Linked DNA regions of Arabidopsis thaliana. The protein of the gene in region 1 binds, or shares a complex with, the protein of each later gene. Each region holds a gene or a part of one and is shown in the gene's direction. Other genes may lie near its edges. The genes, in order: CLUB and TRS120.

Region 1 (9,525 bases):
TTGTTTCTTTTATGATATATGACTATCTTATATATATAGTAACATTAATGTCCTTGATGACATATTTGCTAATTTTGAATTATACAGTAATTATAGTCCTTTTATTTATTTATACAATATTAGAGTATAGTTTAAAATTCTTACATTTAATTTGAAAAATTCTCATAAGGTCTCTCTATTCACATTTAAAGTTATAGTCTTTCACAACTTTTATCCAGATTTCACATTTATTTTATGCTGTTAAAATATTTATTTTCAATTATAATCAATCCACAATATTCTTTTATCACAACATGTTATAATACGTTGGGTTTGTATTAAATCGTTAAAGAAACGTTAAGTGTCAACGAACCACATCCTTAATTGAGAAGATTGACTGAGACGTAGAAGCGTGTTGTCTAGCATTCCTCTGTTTAGCATTCATCTGTTTCCAGTCTCTACAAGGGAGTACAAATTAAAATCTCGGAATTTTGTTTCCAACTTGCCCCAAGACTATCACTACAAAACCGTTTTGGTTAAGTGGTATGGTGAGAATGCAAACAAAAGCTGTAATGGTGTTCAAACTTGATGAAGAAGGAAACGCTTTTTACACTCAAGACATTGGGGATCTCTACATTTTCATCTCAAGGTCTGAACCTTTCTGTGTCCCGGCTAGCTCCTTTCCCGGCATGTTCTCTAACTTCGTTGAGCTCTTGGATGTTAACGAAAACGTTACTGTCGATCTGTCTGATTACTCCATGAATGGTGGATTTGGTTATTTCGGTGCACCAGCCCACATCCCACCTCAAAAACTAGACTAGTTCCATCTCAATCTCGCCAAGCAATAGACTAGTAGTAGTACACTATATTCCACTGTTACAACATGTTAACTATGTACCGGTTCTTAAATTAATTAGCTAATGACGTGTATGCTGTTTATGCGTTTGTTTGTTCCCTCATGTCAAACCATTACATTAGCTAATGACTTGTATGCTATTTATGCGTTTTTTTTGTTCCCTCATGTCAAACCATTCTCGTTGGTGTTAACATCTCAAGCCAATTGTCTCATTGAGTTTGTCAAGTTCTTGTATTGTATTTTCCCAGCCAATGCTTGGATTTCTAAGAGGCTGTTTCAGCTTTCTCTTCTAGAATCTATAGTTTTCGCGACCCAGTGGTTTTAGTTAAAGTGCTTTGAAGCCAAAACTAGGTGTTTTCAAGAATGGGGATACTGAAATTTGGACCGTGTCATGTTAGGAAGACTTGCTATAAGTACATAGAGGTTAGTGTGACCATTTCACCTCTTGGAATGTGAGTTTATCTGACTGTCTAGTGTTTGTGATGTAGAAGTCCATTATTCTTGTCTGTGTATCAGTCTAAACTAGATACTCAAAGGAACATTACATTTGCAAGAATATAGATTTGTACCAAAGAGCATTAGGATTAATCAAAATAGGACTACTGAGAACTGAAGGGACAGATTTGATGTCCATTGTTTGATCCGTGCCTCTCACAGTTGAACTTGTTTGTCAAATCAAGTTAAATTGTTTGTGAATTTAGCGTTGTATTATATGTGAGATCTATAGGTATATTTGTCATATGGTTTTCCGTATATTCATGCCCTGTTTCTGATTAAACAAACACTGAATCCAAAAAAAAAAAAATGATGTAAAAGGAAGAAATTTCTTGTACATATCCGCCGCGTGAAAAGATGTAAAATCCGATAATTATAGTCATCTACTCTAAATTTGCAAAAGAAATTAGACCTAATAACCAAACAAGTTTTACGAATTACCAAACATTTTTGTTTCTTTGGTTGTTTCATTTTTCTTTTTCTTTTGGAGAAATCCATCTTTCATAACTTCAATCCTTAGATTTACCTAAATTCCAACAAGTCAAACCAAAACCATAAATCAACCAAATCTTTATTTGATGTTACCATGTAACTAAATTCTAAAATACCAGTCTTTATTAAAGAAACGTATAATCCTTCTTCTTCCTAAAAGGGGTTCATTAATCATACAACTCCTTCATGTTTAATGCAGAAACCACTCAACACTCATTCATATTACATAACCCAAAGAAATTCATCAACATTGTCATAGCTAAAGAAAGAACACACATTCAACACTCCTCTGAACATTCCGCTAACACCCCTACTTGCTTTGTGTACCTTATTAATTCCAAAAACATGAAGAAGATAATCAAGAGACAGGTAGACCATATAAGCTTACAGATATCGTTGATGTGAGTTTTATATTACCTAGAAGAGAAGAGGGTGATATATTACTTAGATCCCACGAATCATCACTCATCTGTGACAGAAATACAGGAACAAAAAAGGAATAAGACATTGTCATTTGGTCAGATCATAGATATATCTACTGGAATAACACTTTATTCACAACACACATTTCACTGTTCGAAGATACACAGAGAGGGATCACTTAAAATATCATGCAGATTATACATTGCTAGTCGTGATGCAGTATGGTGGAGATAACAAATGTAACCTATAGATAATAGCCTTTTTACCTTATCAGTGTACATTCAGATCTTTTTACAAATTCACTAGGTAGCTCCGATCTTGTAACGTATACCAAATGCTCCAGAACTAACACCAGTGACTATCTTACAGAAGAAGCAATCTACGAAACTCAGTAACTTTATTTGACAAGTTTTCATCTGAACTTGTCATAAAAGTAAGAAGGTAGTGCCTACATCTCAGTTAGATTTGATATCTAAACATTACCCAAGAGTATAGATAAAAAAAATTTTGGCATGTTAACCAGATTCTTCCTACATATTCCCATTCTTTCCTAAATTTTCCTCTGTTAACATTGTAACCTTTCCTAGTCTGGACCAAAGCAAACAACAACAAAAAGTATAATTGAAGCTTCCTTTTTAGAACTACTGCACTATTTGATTTTCAATGTTTCATACAACAACAAGTATACAGTCACCAACTTACGAAATGAGGGGTTATAGAAGACATAATTTCTTATCTGCCTTTTCCCAAGTCAAGAATCATAATACTTGGATGCTAATGATACTTAATGTTGCCTCAAACTAAACCGAACAGAGGAAAAATAAATCAAACAAACTCACTTAGAAAAGTTTATCTTCAAGGGTCAAAAGAAACTTTCCTCTGGACTAGAGTACTTTTAATCTAAAGTCTAAACGCAATCAATGGGTAGTGTAAACAATGCAAGAAATAGAACGATGTCGGCGCTTCTTTGTCCCATGTGTAGGGGAACAATAATCTTCTAACATATATTACAGCAAATTAGCCATAACCACCAAAAATTATGATATATACTATACAACTAACTTCAGTAAATAGAAACAGTTTCGGCAGATGAAGAAGATATATACAAATTCATAGAACGAATACACTAAAGCTAGGAAATCATCTATGTACATGACCATCATCCTCAATTTTCGGGTAAGCAAGGCAATGAACATGGACAGCATTTCTCACTAAATCGACAAAATCATCTTAGTTCAGCTATAAAAGGATCTCATTTTCCTGTGCTACCATCTATGGCAATCTTTTTCACAACATATTCACGTGATCACAAAATTCACAACACTCACTACACTACTGAATCTAAATCTGACACATCAACAGAAACATCCATGAAAAAAATAACAACGAAAGCAGCTTATCTAATCAATCACTGAATCACATAGAGATAGAGATAATTGATCCCTGACCTTTGATGTGTTCATGATGAGCAGAAGCAGAAGCAGCAACAACATCTCCATCATCATCTCCACCAGACTTGACAGTAACAATAGGCACAGGTCCATCACGATCATCAGGATATCTAACCACAACAACAGGACAAACACAGTGATGAACACAGTAATCACTAACAGAGCCAAGCTTGCCATCACTTCCTCTTTTTTTCTCAGCACCAAAACCTCTACTTCCCATAATCACAGCACTAAGACCAAGCCTCTCAATCTCAAGACATAATCTCTCTCTCATATCATGATCTTTCACTATATGGATCTTATAAGGAAACCCTAACTCCTTCAACGGTTTAGCTAGATCCGCAACTTTTGTTGAAGTAAAAGCATCAAAATCCTCTTGACTAGGTTGAGGTTGAGCGTTTGGATCTTCAATTTGAGTTTTCAGAGGGAGAGGTCCCCAATCGGCACCGAAGAGGACGGAGGTTGGAGAAACGTGGAGAAGAACAACGGCGTCTCCGGGACGGATGTAGTGATCTACAGCCCAACGAACGGCGAAAGAGCTTTCTTCGGAGAGATCAACTGCGACTCCGATTTTACGACGAGCTCCGGCGGTTGGTGTTGGAGTTGCGGCGGAGGAGGGAGTAGATGAGGAGTGGTGATGGTGAGAGTGACGTGGAGATGGAGGGTGATGGATCTTGATGTTTGGAAGCTGTGGATGATCGGAATCTGCTGGATTCATGATTTTTTTCAGATGTTGTTTTTGTTCGTCGGAAAGTGGGAGTGAGGGAGGTTTCTCTTAACGGAGAAGAAAGAAGCGTTGTTTTTGTTTTTTTAATAGAACATTAGACTGCATGCCGTTATTTATATACAAAGACGACAAGCATTCTAATATAGATGTAGTTAATAGAAGGAGTGATCCAACGGTCAGGATCAAATCTGAGCGCCATAGTTTTGAAGAAGACGATTCACTAGATCTCCGGCGTCGGTGATTTCCTCCACTTCCTTTTCTGGCAGCTAGAAGACGAAACCTCACTCAAATTCTGATCTCTTTGTATAATTCGATCGAGTTATTCGTATGATTCGTATAGATCGGTGACTCAGATGGCGAACTACTTGGCTCAGTTCCAGACGATTAAGAATTCCTGCGATCGTCTCGTCGCCGCCGGTGAATTTCTCCCCAATTTTTTTCAAATGTGTACATTTCTAGGGGTTTTGTTTCTCTACGATTGCTGCATTCGATTAGGATCTTATTTCTCCTTTTTTTTTTCTGCCACATTTTGCGATGTCATAGCTATATATTAGTGGAAAGTTTCTCAATGTAGGTGAAGGATCAAATCAGATGATATGAATCTGTTAGGTTGTTGGTTGGTCAGGTTATACTCATGAATGAAGCTAAAAGTGCTTAGAAATGAGCATCCATTCCTGAAGGGAACTGATCATGATGATTTCTTTTGTTTCTGATCTTAAACTCTACTTGTTCGTTAGTATTAAGATGTCTTCTCTTTATATTGTTCCCGTTGCTCGTTGTAATAGTGGTTGCTTGCATATTCTTTTACAGTGGAAGATGTGTGTGATCTGTGGCCTACAGTGAAAGGTTTATTTGAAGAACATCAGCCATTAAAAAGAGCATTCTTGACTAACAAGACTCGAAATCCGGTTTTTGTTGAGAACTTGCCGGTTGAATTCATATTAACTACAGACGCGAGGCTTCGTAGTCGATTCCCGCAGGAGCAGTATTTGTTCTGGTTTCGAGAACCATACGCAACTATAGTTCTTGTCACATGTGAGGTACTTGCTTGTTGATATGATGATATGTGTTTTTTTTTTCTGTATCAATCTTGGCAGTGGAGAGTAGTCACGTGCCAAAATATGAAACAAAGATGATGTGCTTGATGATATTCGTTTCTGTTTTCCTTTTCTATAAGAGATAAGAACCTATGTTTAGATAGTAGGTACCGTTTCTAATGTATATGGTTTCTGGATTAGGTTAGATTTATCACTTATGTGGTTCGACAATTTTTGTTCTTCTAGCTTTTCTGAGTATACCTTTGACCTTGCAGGATCTTGATGAGTTTAAAAACATTCTCAAACCACGTCTGAAATTAATTGTTCAGAATGATGAGAGGGAATGGTTTATTGTATTTGTATCTAAAGCTCATCCAAGTAATGATCAAGCAACTAAAAATGTCAAGAAAGTATATGCGAAGCTTGAAGTTGACTTCAGTTCAAAAAAGAGAGAAAGGTAAGCTATGCAGATTGGACTGTGTTTATGTTTTTTTGCTCTGATACAAGCAGGCACGAACCGAAAAAATACCATGCCAGATTCCTAATGAGACTTGATTGCTCCTACTATAGTTCTAACATAAATAGATTAGGTTAAACAGTTTGCACGATTGCAATCACTCATATTTTTGCTAGATGCATAAACTAAACCCATTTAGCAGTAATCACTCATTTAAAGGAAGTTATCTTTAAGTTATATACTTATGGAAATGCAGACGGGATAAACGCTAAAACACCTTTTTATTTACTTGATCAGTTTTACTTCATTTATGCATGCCATACATAGTCTTCATATGATAATTTTTGCAATGCTTTTAAGGTGCTGTAAGCTGGATGTACATGGCCCTGAAGGAAATTTTTGGGAGGACCTTGAATTAAAGATTACCGAGTGCATCAGGAATACCTTGGATAGGCGCGCACAATTCTACGAGGATGAGATACGCAAGCTCAGTGAGCAGCGGTTTATGCCAATATGGAACTTTTGTAACTTTTTCATCCTGAAGGTTAGCTCTCTTCTCAATTTGTGAATGGAAAGTGACATGTGACTTCTACGCAAATGAATAAAATGGTTTAAAATCCTGTTTCTTCCTTTTTGTAGTTAGATTTTATACTTTTTTAATAAAGTCTCTGATGGAGATTTATGTGCCCCTTTTGTTTCTTCCATAGAAGTATGAAAATAATCCCCAAGCTTAGAAATCAACATTGGTCCTTGCAGTCACATTTGATGAAACTTTTCTCATTTTCTTAAAGGTCATAATGTTCTATGCTGTCTCAGGAAAGTTTGGCTTTCATATTTGAGATGGCTCATCTTCATGAAGATGCATTACGTGAATATGATGAACTAGAGCTCTGCTATTTGGAAACAGGTTCTTTTCCTACCTCTATATCTCTCTCTTGCAGATCCGTGGCAGCAAAAATTTCATGTTTTGTCTATTTGTTATATTTTATATTCTTAGGTTTTGACAAACCTGACATGTATCTTTATCTCTTAAAGCATTTGGGATCAGTATTCATCCAACAAACTGATTTCTTTTTTCAAGTTTTTTTTTTCTGAACAAATAATCTATCATGCATCACCTTCAATGCAGTTAATATGCCTGGGAAACAGAGGGATTTTGGAGGATTCGACGGTGAAGATGACCAAGCTGTGCTGCTGAAACCAGGAAGCAAACCATTGACACAGATTGTGCAAGATGATTCTTTTAGAGAATTCGAGTTTAGACAGTATCTCTTTGCCTGTCAATCTAGGGTTGGTGCACACAAGAGACATCATATCGATCACAGTGTCCTTTTCTCCTTTCAAAACTGTAGCTTTACTTTTACAACCTTTTCATTAGCTTACCTCTATGTGGTTCTTTGCAGCTGTTGTTCAAGTTGAATCGTCCATTTGAAGTTGCATCTAGGGGATATTCTTTTGTTATTAGTTTTGCAAAGGCCTTGACCCTTCATGAGGTAGCCTATACTGTTACTAAAGAAACGCTTATCTTACTTTTGGTTAGTTGATTTGACCGACCTTATTTCCTCTCTTCTTTTGATATTTTTGTAGAGTGTACTGCCCTTCTGTATGCGAGAAGTTTGGGTAATTACTGCATGTTTAGCGCTGATCGAAGCAACTGCTTCTCATCACCATGATGGCGTTGTTGCACCTGATATTGAGAAGGAATTTTTCCGTCTTCAGGGTGATCTCTATTCACTTTCACGGGTTAAGGTAGAAATCTGCTTGCTTTCAAAATATGTACAATGAACAAAACTTCCTATTTGCTGACATCCTCTTTCAATTATTGACTGGAATTTGAACCGAGGTCTCTGTTGAGTAATTTCTTTTGAGTTGATATTGCATTTGTCTGTGTCATAGTTCGGTAATTGTCTTATGTGATGTCTACTAGTTTCTTCATGTCCAATCACTTAAAAAGTTTTTTTGTTGGTTGCATATAACTACAATATGAAAATTATTTTCAAGTGCTTATACCCATTGAAATGCCTTTATGTCATGGCAGTTCATGAGACTTGGATATCTGATAGGATATGGAACAGACATCGAAAAGAGTCCACTGAACAGGTACGGGTCTATTTTTGTTATAGCATGTGCGTTACCTGTTATATAGAAGTATTAATTCTCCAATGACTTCCCGTAGAGAAAGGATTACGCAATTAGTGAGGAATTATATGTGTCACTTTAAATAAACAGAGCAAGTCTTTCTTTGCTGAAAAAAGCATGTCGATTTTTCTTTCTCTTTGGGAGGCTATGCTGATGATGTTTAGTAGTAACTCCTACCCATTTTATGGACAGTGCTTGTCTCAGTATGCTGCCTTGGCCAAAACCGGCTGTCTGGCCATCTCTTCCACAAGATGCTTCCTCGGAGGTGCTTGAAAAAGAAAAGGTATAATATACATATGCTGCGTGAATGTGTTATCTATCTGATAGCATTGTTATTGAAGCCAATCATGCTTTTAGATTCGAGCTAAGAGTTAGCTGTACTTGCATGGCCTCTAGTGGACACTGACATAATACCAGGGTATTGTTTGTAAATGTATTATATGCGAGATTTAGGGCTGCGTAACTATATTTACCATCTGTTTCGTTTTTCTTTTATAATACTTATCTCCTTTTTTTGGTAAAAGACTATTCTTCAAGCAACTTCAAGGACCAAGCACTTTGGTATTCAACGGAAAGCCTTACCTCTTGAACCATCTGTCCTTCTACGTGTGGCTAACAGAAGAAGGGCTTCTCTTTCAACCGGAAATATTCCTGAAATGTTTGATGGGCGCCCAAGTTTTACTGAAGGGTAATGAAATTTGTAAAATTCTTTTCTTTAGCCCTTCTTGTTTTCAAATTTGTTAGTACTTTAATCTCATATATCTTCGAAGTTTCCAGGAAGTATTGCAAATCATCACCTTCTGTTATAAGGAACTAAAATGATATCTTTATAAATTTCGACAGATCAGGTTTAGAAGCGTCTCCGAGAACACCTTCATCACTTAAAGTACAAGCACCTCCCATGTCAAGAACAAATTCTTCACCAGGAAATTTTGAGAGTCCCCTAGATAGGCCTATGAGGCTTGCTGAAATTTTTGTTGCAGCTGAGCACGCTCTACGACTTACCATTTCAGATCATGATTTGTTGAAGACATTGTCATCTATTCAGGATTTCGAGGTAGCCTGCTAATACCATTTACATAAGGACAATGAAGCTTCTGATTTTATGCTGCTCTTTATTCTAGCTTCTCATGTATATAAATTTTGTTGTGGCAGAATAAATATCTTAACCTAACCAAAGGTGCTGCCGAAAACTATCACCGTTCCTGGTGGAAGAGACATGGAGTCGTTCTCGATGGGGAAATTGCAGCTGTCTGCTTCAAGCACGGAAAATATGATTTGGCTGCAAACTCTTATGAAAAAGTTTGTGCCCTTTATGCGGGTGAAGGATGGCAAGATTTACTGGCAGAAGTCTTGCCTAATTTAGCACAGTGTCAAAAGATTCTTGATGATCAAGCTGGGTACATGTCATCTTGTGTTAGACTACTTTCGTTGGATAAAGGATTATTCTCGTCCAAGGAGCGGCAAGC
Region 2 (12,153 bases), about 19 Mb from region 1:
TCCCTTCTCCAGCCATTGGGTCGACATAAGCGTAGGAACTTAATTAGGTGAACCAAGACTTTGTATGCAAGTATTATGATCAAGTCATGATCACCAGCTGATAAACACTTGTCTGAGTTACTTTTGAAAGATTCTATAAGCCAAAAAACACGCTTTGGTGATCAAGACTTTGTATGCAAGTATTATGATTGGCTGATCCTAAGCCAAACCAATCACTGAGCCTGCTAAATAGAAATCTTTGGCTTGTGGTCTTGGCAATACACAACACAACACTCTTTTGCAAAAATGAAAGTTGGAAAGAAAGTAGAAGCAGGAGCAGGTTCACAAGTGAATGGGTTATCACTTATCAATATGAATATAGGTCAAGCAAAGTGCCACGACTCAAGTTGGAATAACCAAAGTTGCAGGAAAATATCAAACAAATTTTTTTTGTAACTAACAATGAGCCTACAATTGAAGTTCTCACTATTTTTTTGACTAATGACTTTTCAACTTTTCTTCCACGAGCTCGATGCATCGATATAGAACCAATTCAATTGGGTTCAGAAGCCCTACATCGTCGAGTGAAGATTCTTGGCCATGATCCTCCTTGAGGTTCTCAGCGATGCTGCAGCTCACAAGAGTTCGAAGAGGCAGAAGCCATTCCTTATACGCTTTCTCCAGATTCTTCTTTGACAAAATATCACTGCCGACTTTGCTTCTCTCTTTACCTGCTTCACATTCTATAGCTTTGTCTTGTCAGAAAAACACCACAAGAACAAGAGAGATGAAATGACAAAACCGCACTGCCTACTAATTTGCAATATTTTAAATAGTCAGATTTCCTCCATTTACTTGGAAGGAAATGAGATAAAGCAAAGTACATTTTCAACTTGACATTTTAACATTTTAGAGGGTATACGACTTTTTACCTCTCGATTCAAATAACAGTGCAAACCTGTAGAGGTTAAGTGCCGCCAGGATCTGCACAAACATCACACAAAGACTTTTGTTACACAAATGTGGTTAAATAATCGATCTTCAAACACAACCATGTTTCTCCTTATTTTCGTTCTGACCCTCTGATTCTTATAAATAGTGAAAATTCTGGGGTCTTTTGTTATCGCAGTTTTCCTTACGACAAGTTAGAAAACAATGCAACATCATAAAATTCCTTAATTAGCGAGAAAAGCAAGCTACTCTCATTTGCACAGAAAGGGGCATTTTCTCTATTTCTCGGTATGTATGTAATGTTTGTCCTTTTAAGCATTTACCTTAACCCATATCATTGCATTGCCTAAAGGGCTTATAGTATGCACATGAAAAGAGAAACAAAACATACTTTTAAAGAATTGATATAGGAAAAGAAAAGATCACCGCATCACTCTGGTCCGGAAGGAGTGGAGGACCTCCCTGTGGAGGCCTTAAGACCAACTCCACTAGCTCAATAACATGCGTATCAACAGCCGCACAATCTGTATCTTGCAAACTGCTTTTGCTCATGCTGTCTTTAACTAGACCCAGAAGGATTGCTGTCTGGTTGATTTAGCAAAAGATATTAGTTGAAATGGGATACCTTTCTCTTTTGGAACCAAATGTTTAAAAATATTATCTCAGTATGACTACTGAAGACATTAAACTATGCAGTTTATGAATGGTCAACGCCAAAGGTGACCATGATGGCATTTACTATTCATAAAGCTCAGTGGGATACAAATATACTAACCATTGAAGGAGACCGGGAATTTGTGACAAGGGCTCTTAAAACGTCAAACCTATGAGGAGCTGGGATATCAGAAAGAACCTAATCAAACAGCACAAAAGTAAGATTGTAAGACGAGATTATTAATCATCTCTGTTTAAACTTTAACCAAGCCCAATAGATAACTAAATTTCTGAATGAAGAAGATATGTTTTTAAAAAAGTATATGAAAAGAAAGAAAAGCAAGGCATATGGACTGAGGGTAGTCATTCTGTGTCAAAGTTGGCTGATACCTCTTCTACTTATAAAATATAATCAGCACAAGTCAAATCATCTGAATTGGTTAAACCATCATTTCTGTGTAAAAACATCAATAACGAGTATAGATCTAAAGAATCAGAATTTTGAGGAAACAAAAGCCATTCAAAAGTTTGTGTTGTTCGTTCTTTTTTTGTGGATTCATGCTTCATATAGTATCAATTCTGCGTCACTCAAAATCAGTTATCCAAATTTTGATTAAGTCAAGGTTTATTTACCCTCTTCAGTGCCTCAAATGTCTTTTTCCTCAGATCTGCGTCTGGCGCATACATGATCAGTAATGTAACAGCCTGGTTGAAAGAAACGAGACACTTGGAGCGCTAGTAATTGGTAAACCTGAATGGTGTAAAGATTAAGGAGAAGAATATTACACCTGTAAAGTAGCGTAGATGCCAGGCGTGTAGTCCGAACAATCTATTTGCTCATCATTGCATTGAGATGAAGTAACTCCTTTTGTTATGTCAAGCAAGAACTCGATAGCATGTCTTTTGAATTCCCAGAGCAGATCTCCAGAGGAAAGTATATATTTCAACATCCCATAAGCTTGCCACCTTTTCACTGGATTGTTTTGAAGCTCATCAACAACACTTCCTAAAACCGCATTAGCCGCCTCTGCAACCTCATGGGAGATCTTTGCACAGATGAATAAAAGCGATGCACCCAAGCTGATGTCAGGGAAAGAGGTGATAAACTCATCATCATCTGTTCATTTTACAACCATGAGACATGTGATACGAGAACAGATGCGTGTTATTGAGAAATCAGGAAGAAGTGTTTTTGAGTATTGAGAGTAACCTCCAGCAACCGTGCTCATTAATTTTTCAGTGTCATTCCCCGTGATTAAACCAAGATGTGTTAAACCACAGGATGTCAAGAACGGTTCTAACTGAATCACCAGAGGAATACAAGAGGCCGCTTTGTCTCTGATGCTAACTGAAATAATAGCCTGCAAAACCAGACCAAATCTAAGGTATTGAAGAAAATCTATATGCTCATAATAAAAGAGAAAAGTCAGAAAAGTTCCATGATATCGAAACAAAGTTGGAATCAAGTACAAACCGTTATCTGTATCACATAGAGACAAAGTAGACAACGGACTTTTGCTTCTTCTTCGTTATTCTGTAAAACAAAGAAAAGAGATCAAATCAGGCAAAACGAATATTCAAATTAGAGAATTTACACTTTGGGTAGTGATTTAGGGAATCCTAATTGCCAATTTATCAAACTTACAGACCAGTTTTGAAGAAACGTCTCGAATTGAAGAGGCAATGCCTAGAGCCTTATCAAATAAATCTTCAACTTGCACGTCTGTTTCCAATGAAATGTCCTTCAAAACGTTCAGGACAATTGGAACTGCAACCTTTAATTGCTCGTAGTGACGCCTCTGGATCAAAATAAATACTGAAACCAGGAAATTTGAATAACTTTTTACTGCTTCAGTTCACGAAGACTAAATTAATATCTTCAGTAACAAAACTAGTTAGGGATTCAAACACAAACTTTAAGATATTCATACTTAAGTACAATCAAAGCAAGAGTATTACTAAAATTGCAGGTGCCAAGCTAAAATTCACTTTCATGAGAGAAGTCTATAAATTTTAGGATATTCATACTTGTGTACAATCAAAGCAAGAGTATTACTAAAACTGCAGGTGCCAGGCTAAAATTCACTTTCATGAGAGGAGTCTATAAATATCTTGAAAACGAGAAATCTTCAACTGGTACCTTTAGAGAGCCCATGCAATAAAGGAGTAGAACAAGTGGAGGCTGAATGATAGCACCGTGCAGCATCGAGTGCCTGGTTCAGAGTCATAAGGTGATCAAAAAGAACTTGTAATCTTCTTATGCCAAATACCAAGAAGGAAAAAGAAATTCCAGATCAATTACCTCACAAAGAATTGAAAGCATATCCCGTGGATTGCATGCTTCCACAAACCGATCAACGATTTCCTCAACTAACTGTAAACATCTGCTTGATATGTCTGCAAACTTGGAAGTTACTTTTGGCAAGTGAAATGACAGTGCATCTATAACATCCTGTAATAAAATGAATCGGGGAACAAAATCATAAGCTTGGTTCTCTAAACAAAATCCTTCCGTTTGGCTTTGAAAGCGATTCGAAAACTGAAAAGTACCTGATCCATTTGAGGAGATGATAAAACTTTCAAAATTTCATCTAATACTTCTTCAATAACATCGTTCTCCAGTTCATTGTTAGCATCCAAAGCTACGTTCTCATACAAAGAATCCAAACAGCTGACAAGTTCTGTCACAAAACTCTCAAAGTCTTGAAATCCTCCGGCTTCTTCAACTGACTGAAAAATCACAAAATTAGCGGCGAATTTTTCATTCGAGCTCCAAAAATCACGAAACAGCTAAGTATTCATCGATCTCAAAGCATCTAGAAATTCCACCCAGAAAACAAATTACACAAACCCGAAACGAGGAGAAGAAGAAGAGAGAAAGCTTACACTGAAACACAAAGCTAAAAGTTCTCGTACACGACGCGAAGGAGAAGTAGTGACAGTAGTTGACTCGGAGCTCCCTTCAATGGACGATTCCATAACGCCAAAACTTTTCAATTTCGCCCAAGTTTCGTTCACAGTGAGAGTATTAATAATCGCGAATTTAACCATATCGTTTGGTTATATGAATAGAGTTTAACCCCGGATAGTCTAATTCTAACTAAGAATAGTTTAATACCTGTACCCAAACAGACCACGTTCTCTCTCTCAACACTTTCTCGTTTTCGTCTCCTTCAGATCCGGTGCACTCACGCTCACCGAAAGATCCTCACTCTCCTTCTCTGATCTCGCCATGGAACCTGACGTCAGTATCGAGACTTTGTCGATCATTCGGATCGCCGTCCTTCCGATCGGCACTATTCCGCCGACGCTTCTCCGGGACTACCACTCGATGCTGCTCCGTCATCACACGATCGCGCTCTCAGCTATTAGCTCTTTCTACACTGAACATCAGAAATCTCCATTCACGAATCAGCCGTGGGATTCCGGCTCTCTCCGGTTCAAATTTGTGCTTGGTGGTTCTCCTCCGAGTCCTTGGGAGGATTTTCAGTCTAATCGGAAGATGCTCGCCGTGATCGGCCTTTGCCACTGTCCCTCGTCCCCTGATCTTGATTCTGTCACTGAAAAATTCAATGTCGCTTGTAAGAGTTATTCCTCGGCTCTTGTCCGGCGCTGCTTCGCTTTCTCCCCTGGCGATTCGCAAGTAAGTATATTAGTTTCCATGCTTCTTATCTGCTATGGCATTCTTAGCTCGATGCCGATGGATCTAGCTAGCTTTTTTCTGATTTGTCTCTACAGTTGATAGTGATGTCCATTTTTTGTACCAGTGATTTAGTTACTTGCTTATGGATGCGTTAGATTGACGATTTACTGAACAATGTACTGTCTTTTGCAGCTTGAAGATGGAGACAAGAAGGGTGAAAATTTGATTTTGTTTCCTCCATCTGACAAGCAAACTCAGGAGTTTCATTTACAAACAATGATGCAAGACATTGCCGCTTCGCTGTTAATGGAATTTGAGAAGTGGGTTCTTCAGGCAGAATCTGCTGGCACAATTTTGAAGACGCCTTTGGATTCCCAAGCTAGTCTCAACTCAGAGGAGGTTTATGTCTAGGTGTCCTATAATTTGGTCTACGTTTCATTTCTTCCTCTGGAAGCTTATAACTTATTAGCATAGTCTTCTAGGCTCACTAGTTTTGTTTAATGCAGGTTATTAAGGCCAAAAAGCGTAGGCTGGGACGTGCACAAAAAACTATAGGAGACTATTCCTTGTTGGCTGGTTCACCTGTTGATGCCAATGCTCATTATTCTACTGCTCTGGAACTGGCCAGATTGACTGGAGATTACTTCTGGTATGCCGGTGCCTTGGAAGGCAGTGTTTGTGCCTTACTGGTAAGGCTTTATGCAAATATATCTCTAAATGCATTGTTCTTACATTTTTAATAGTATTATAGTCCAAAAACATGGATAGTGATGTGCTGTTTATCGAAAGTGCACTGATTATGAAATTGCTCTCATCTGTCCCTCTTTAATTAAGTTTGCAATCATCTTAGTTTTCCGTTTTCTTAATATTAGGTAGATCGGATGGGTCAACGTGATGTGGCTTTAGAAGATGAAGTTAGATATCGATACACTAATGTTATCTTGCACTACAGAAAGTCATTTATTCAAGAAATTGCTCAGAGGTAATTCTACCAACCTGTTTGGCTTTCTTCTTCGATAAACTTAAGTAATAGCAATCAATTCTCTTCCTTGCAGAGTTTCGCCCCTAAGCTTTGAACTCGAAGCTACCCTTAAGCTGGCCAGATTCCTTTGCAGGTATCATTGTATGCTCTCTATTTCTTTAAATTATCATGGTGTGGTTTCCTTTCTTGCCGTCTCCTGCTTAAGTTTAAGGTTGCTATGGTATTTTTGTCTAGTAGGAAGCTATATCGCTACTAAAATTTAAATATAAACTCATGGGATCTTGTGTGTGTGTGGCTTTGATCCTCTAAAACTATCTGCAACATTCAACTTATAATACCAATATATTGAGATTACTATTAAGTATTAAGTGGCCTAGTGGAGGATGGCTGTATGTTAATGTTTTGTGATTGATGGTGATGTTAGCTGGGAAAAGAATAATTATTACGTTTTGAAAAAGCTAAAATACATGGGTTTTCCGTTTAGTATGAAATGATACTCTCTGGTTGTGGCAGCTTTTATGTTTTTTTAACCTTCTGGTTGCATCCTCATTTTTTTCTTGGTATCTTTGATCTTAATCATTCTTACAATGTCATTTTATGTGTTGTGCAGGAGGGAACTGGCTAAGGAAGTAGTAGAGCTATTAACAAATGCAGCTGATGGTGCAAAGTCTTTAATTGATGCCAGTGATAGGCTCATATTATATGTTGAAGTAGCGCGTTTATTTGGAGCCCTTGGTTATCAACGGAAAGCAGCCTTCTTCTGTAGGCAGGTCGCCCAATTGTATTTGCAGCAAGACAATCGATTGGCTGCTATCAGTGCCATGCAAGTTCTCTCTATGACAACTGATGCATACAGAATTCAAAGTAGGGCATCCATGTCAAAAGTGTCGGTTAACAATGTGAGTTTGCCAGCATAGGCATTATTTTTCCTCTCTTGTGTTTGATTGAGCATGGTTTTCTGGAGTTTTTTTTGTTATCATCACTTTTCACTATCTTGGTATTTATCCATGTATCATACTTTGATAATATATTGTATCTTCTCTTGTGTTTGTTGGTAAAGGAAACTGGGCGCCTACCTGACGCTGGGAAAATGCATCATCATTCCATTGTCTCCCTGTTCGAGTCCCATTGGAGCACTTTGCAGATGGTTGTGCTTAGGGAGATACTCCTCTCTGCTGTTCGTGCTGGAGATCCCTTAGCTGCATGGAGTGCTGCAGCTAGGCTTCTGAGGTGGCATTATCCTCTAATTACACCTTCAGGTCAAAATGGACTTGCTAATTCCCTTGCAAATTCAGCGGATAGATTACCTTCTGGAACTCGCTGTGCTGACCCTGCCTTGCCTTTTGTAAGGTATGTTTATCAGCAGTCAACCTTTTTGCTCTCAGAGATGTTTTGCTTGTGCACTCTCACCATCATGAAACAACCTAACTTGGTCATGTTATATTTCCTAGCACTCTAAGTAGAGCAACGAGATCAGAAAAATAAGTAATAATCTCTTTTAATCCATCTCTTGGGCTTCATATATGCCCAATATGTGTTTATTTTCAGGAATGTGTTCCATGTTTGGTTCTTAGCTGACTCTGGCAAAACTGTGTATGTTTTGGCAAATTTTAATGGTTCTTCTAAGCATGATTATTTTAATGAAATTTCAGGCTATTCTCTTTCCCACTCCATTCCTCCCAAGTGGACATCGTAAAACGCAATCCAGCAAGAGAAGATTGGTGGACAGGCTCTGCTCCTTCTGGGCCATTTATTTACACTCCTTTCAGCAAAGGAGATGCCAACGAAAGTAGCAAGCAGGAATTGATTTGGGTGGTCGGTGAACCAGTTCAGGTCTTAGTGGAGTTAGCAAATCCTTGTTGCTTCGATTTGCGGATTGATAGTATTTATCTCTCAGCTCACTCGAGTAACTTTGATGCGTTTCCTGTCAGTGTGGACATTCCCCCTAACTCTGCAAAAGTGATCACATTATCTGGTATTCCAACAGCTGTAGGACCAGTGACAATTCCAGGCTGCACAGTTCACTGCTTTGGTGTAATCACTGAACATGTGTTCAGGGATGTTGACAATCTGCTTCTTGGAGCAGCACAAGGACTTGTATTTTCTGACCCTTTCAGATCCTGCGGATCTGCAAAGCTACGACATGTATTTGTTCCTAACATATCAGTTGCTCCTCCATTGCCCCTCCTTGTGGCTAATGTTGTGGGTGGTGATGGTGCAATTATTCTGTATGAAGGTGAAATTCGGGAGGTGTGTATAAATTTTGCAAATGCTGGCACAGTTCCAATAGTACAGGCACATGTCTCGCTCTCTGGAAAGAATCAGGATGCTGTTATCTCGATCGCAGATGAAGCTTTACAGTCTGCTCTTCCCTTGAAACCTGGGGCACAAGTGACTCTGCCTGTGACTTTAAAAGCTTGGCATGTGGGTCCAACTGATTCTGACAATACTATGAGCAGTGGCAGGAATGCTGCGGGTAACACAGGAAGACCAAAAGACGGAACCAGTCCATCATTGCTTATTCACTACGCAGGTATTCATTTCTTCCTTGACGTATGTTTCTATGTATCTTACTTTTTCAGTGCTTCATGTATCCTCACGATGACTAATTACTAAAAGCATTTTTGTATTCATATTTTTGCAGGGCCATTGTCTAACAATGGGGATTCCCAAGAAAAAGAATCTATCGTGCCACCGGGCAGACGGCTTGTTGTTCCCTTACAAATTTGTGTTTTGCAAGGTTTGTCGTTTGTGAAAGCTCGTTTGCTTTCCATGGAAATCCCTGCACATGTGAGTGACAACCTTCGGGATGAAGACATTGAAAGAGAGAGCAATGCAGACAGCCTTGTCAAGATCAATCCCTTTAGGGGAAGCTGGGGACTACGGTTTCTTGAACTTGAGTTATCTAACCCAACAGATGTTGTTTTTGAAATCAGCGTCTTCGTTCAGCTGGAAAACTCTGCCAAGGAAGATGATTCTTCACCAGTACAAGATTCTCCAGAGTATGAATACCCGAAAACAAGAATCGACCGGGACTATTCTGCTAGGGTACTGATTCCATTGGAGCATTTTAAGCTACCGGTTCTTGATGGTTCATTCTTCACAAAGGACCCTCCACCTGGTAGCCCTTCAAGTAGTAGAAATCCGAGCTTCTCAGAGAAGAACACGAAAGCTGAGATAAACACATTGATCAAGAATCTCATCTCTAAGATAAAAGTTCGGTGGCAATCAGGAAGGAACAGCTCAGGAGAACTGGACATCAAGGATGCAATTCAGACAGCTCTCCAGACGACTGTGATGGATGTTTTGCTCCCAGATCCGCTAACATTTGGTTTCAGACTGGTCAGAAACGGTCTGGAGAAGGATCCTGAGACAAAGGCTGAGTCCCCATTTTCAAAGGGATCTGTTCTGTCACATGAAGTCACTCCTATGGAGGTTCTGGTCCGCAATAACACTAGCGAAGCTATCAAGTTGAATCTAAGTGTTACTTGCAGAGATGTAGCTGGACAGAACTGCACTGAAGGAGCTGATGCCACTGTCCTCTGGGCTGGTAAGATTCCTGTCACTAAGTAATAAATATTTGTGTAACATAGATATTTGCTGCCATTATAGCCGTGTGTATTACAATGAGATATGTAAAAGGTGGCTTATACTTTTGTCAGGTGCTCTTAGTGGAATCTCAATGGAAGTAGCGCCGCTGCAAGAAGCAAGACACTGTTTCTCACTCTTCTTCCTTGTTCCAGGAGAGTACACGATGGTAGCAGCTGCTGTAATTGAAGACGCTAACAATGTACTCAGAGCACGAGCAGGAACTGCTTCTCCAAACGAACCCATCTTCTGTCGTGGACCGCCTTTTCATGTCTGTGTAGCTGGAGGTGCACTGTGATTCGTTAACCAAATCAGGTCTTGGCATTATAATTTATACTCTGTTTTTTGCTCTGTTAGTTGATTTCTCGAGAATCAATTATAAGTTCCGGGTTTAAGTATGGGTCTTTATAAATATCTCTATAATTGCTTGTGTGTTTGTCTCTGTATTTACCTTGGGTCATCTTATGACCACCATGCATAGACTATGCTTTTTTGGAATTTTACGGCCTCGGTTCTGAGACTACTTTTCTCAAAGTAAGTGTTTGTACTCTGCTCAGTGGGATCACTTTCAGTGATAAAAAGAATAAAACGATTATAGCATAATATTAGCAAAAATAAAACTATTTAACCATGAATTCCTTCCCTATTGTGTATTGAAAAGGTCCACAGAGCAATGACATAACTTTCACCGTCAAATAAATACCATTCATTGATATAATCAAACAAGGCAGTGAAGTTTCCCCAAAGCTCGTATGTCGTGTATTAGTGGCCTTACGGATTAATCAATAACTAAAAAATAATACAATAATTTACTTTAGAAATAGTTACGATTATTAATTTAAAGCAAAAAAAAACTGACACAAAGTATCTTTGGCTAAAGAGGATTGTCCTATTCTATTGCGTTTGTTATTTTAAAATTCTGTGCAATTTATCTTTTTGGCTGAAAGACATGAACGAAGTTTGGTTTCATTTTGTGGTTGTAATACGCTTTCATGAGGTTATGAATATATTTTAGTCAATTACTACGTACCAATAATAATTTGGAAAAACCACCCACCAGCTATGTATGTTTGCGAGTATGATTATTGGCATTTTTTTAGTTATATTACTAGATTTTTGTTGGGGACTTCTCCTAAATTTTATCCTTCCAAATAATTGTAGTCAACTAACTAATTTATTACATAAGTAAATTTATCATTGAAGGTCTTCTCATTTGCCGCTTCGTCGGTTACACATTTACAAAAACACGTTTCAACAATTAACCTATACTATTAACTCACTAATTATCCCCACTATTTTCTTACATACGTGAGATTTATGGCCGAACAATCTTTATAAAATTCATAAATATTTAGTTAAACATTGTTCTAACTTCTATAATGTGACTAATATATCATTATATTGTTCGTAGATATTGATCTAAATAAAGATTAATGGCATCGTAAAAATATTGACTTGATCGATATTAAGTGTCAAATAGATAAAATCCATATGTGATATTTTCCTAAGTCTCAGATTTTGTAGTCTTGATTATTTTTTATCTTACTTCTAAGATATATACATGTAATAACTTTTGATGTGTAGTTGATATATTTCTATAAACTACAAAGTATCGATAACTAGAAGGACTATTTTTTACTATTATAAGGGTTATACTATTTTTGACTAAAAAGTCAATATAATTAATGAAATTTATTTAGTAATTAGTGTGCATTTTATTTTACCTCCCATTAAATTCTCATATTCCTTATTACCAGCTTAATTTTATCCCACCTTTGTGCTCTCGTCTCACCTCCCCATTCTACACTAAACTTTTTCTCCTTTTTCTTCCATGGAAGAACAGAAAATTCAAGAGAAGAGCCTCGCTCACGGCGCTGCACCACCGTTGACGGCGGTTGAGAGATTCTTGAACGGCCAAAAGAACGAAGCCTTGTGCTTCAAGAAACAAGAACGTTCTATAGACCGACCGATCGTGAAGACGACAAGGGCGATTGAGATTAGAAATGAAAACAAAGAGAACATGATGTTTGGTCCGAGGAAGGAGAAAAACTTGGCCGTTATTGGAGAAATCGTCGTTAAAGGTGCAGCTAAAGATTATACTTGCAAGGATATAACAAAGAAGCAACCATACAAGAATATCATCAAAGGGCAATGGACAGCCGATGAAGACAGGTATATATATATACTATATATTATAATTATATATGTAGATCTTCATGCTTCTACATAATACTGTGTTTGCATTATATATGATATATATTTTATTTTATTTTTGTCAAAAAAATGAGTATAATCATTATATATATGTATATAGGAAGTTGATAAAGTTGGTGATGCAACATGGAGAGAGGAAATG

Evidence for each region.
Region 2: CLUB (region 1) and TRS120 share a complex: the UniProt entries of both Arabidopsis thaliana proteins name them as parts of the multisubunit TRAPP (transport protein particle) II complex.

The regions. Positions count from the first base shown.
Region 1 is NC_003076.8:22,095,280-22,104,804, forward strand, and holds the start of CLUB (CLUB), read left to right. Parts: upstream 1-4,484; 5' UTR 4,485-4,776; coding exon 4,777-4,840; intron 4,841-5,233; coding exon 5,234-5,463; intron 5,464-5,735; coding exon 5,736-5,917; intron 5,918-6,277; coding exon 6,278-6,461; intron 6,462-6,733; coding exon 6,734-6,824; intron 6,825-7,046; coding exon 7,047-7,207; intron 7,208-7,320; coding exon 7,321-7,410; intron 7,411-7,504; coding exon 7,505-7,666; intron 7,667-7,955; coding exon 7,956-8,017; intron 8,018-8,248; coding exon 8,249-8,339; intron 8,340-8,580; coding exon 8,581-8,744; intron 8,745-8,899; coding exon 8,900-9,113; intron 9,114-9,211; coding exon 9,212-9,525. Other genes in the region: AT5G54420 (hypothetical protein (DUF295)), read left to right, coding at 525-800; PHOS32 (Adenine nucleotide alpha hydrolases-like superfamily protein), read right to left, coding at 2,548-2,603, 3,694-4,414. UniProt on the Arabidopsis thaliana protein: Specific subunit of the TRAPP II complex, a highly conserved vesicle tethering complex that is required for the proper transport of proteins in post-Golgi trafficking pathways to the growing cell plate in mitotic active cells.
Region 2 is NC_003076.8:3,490,516-3,502,668, forward strand, and holds TRS120 (TRS120), read left to right. Parts: upstream 1-4,679; 5' UTR 4,680-4,816; coding exon 4,817-5,227; intron 5,228-5,419; coding exon 5,420-5,626; intron 5,627-5,733; coding exon 5,734-5,916; intron 5,917-6,099; coding exon 6,100-6,209; intron 6,210-6,282; coding exon 6,283-6,342; intron 6,343-6,819; coding exon 6,820-7,108; intron 7,109-7,269; coding exon 7,270-7,559; intron 7,560-7,861; coding exon 7,862-8,742; intron 8,743-8,853; coding exon 8,854-9,759; intron 9,760-9,871; coding exon 9,872-10,095; 3' UTR 10,096-10,430; downstream 10,431-12,153. Other genes in the region: ALF4 (aberrant root formation protein), read right to left, coding at 478-722, 912-963, 1,357-1,515, 1,706-1,783, 2,218-2,289, 2,373-2,701, 2,795-2,945, 3,059-3,118 and 5 more; MYB64 (myb domain protein 64), read left to right, coding at 11,629-11,969, 12,112-12,153. UniProt on the Arabidopsis thaliana protein: Specific subunit of the TRAPP II complex, a highly conserved vesicle tethering complex that is required for the proper transport of proteins in post-Golgi trafficking pathways to the growing cell plate in mitotic active cells.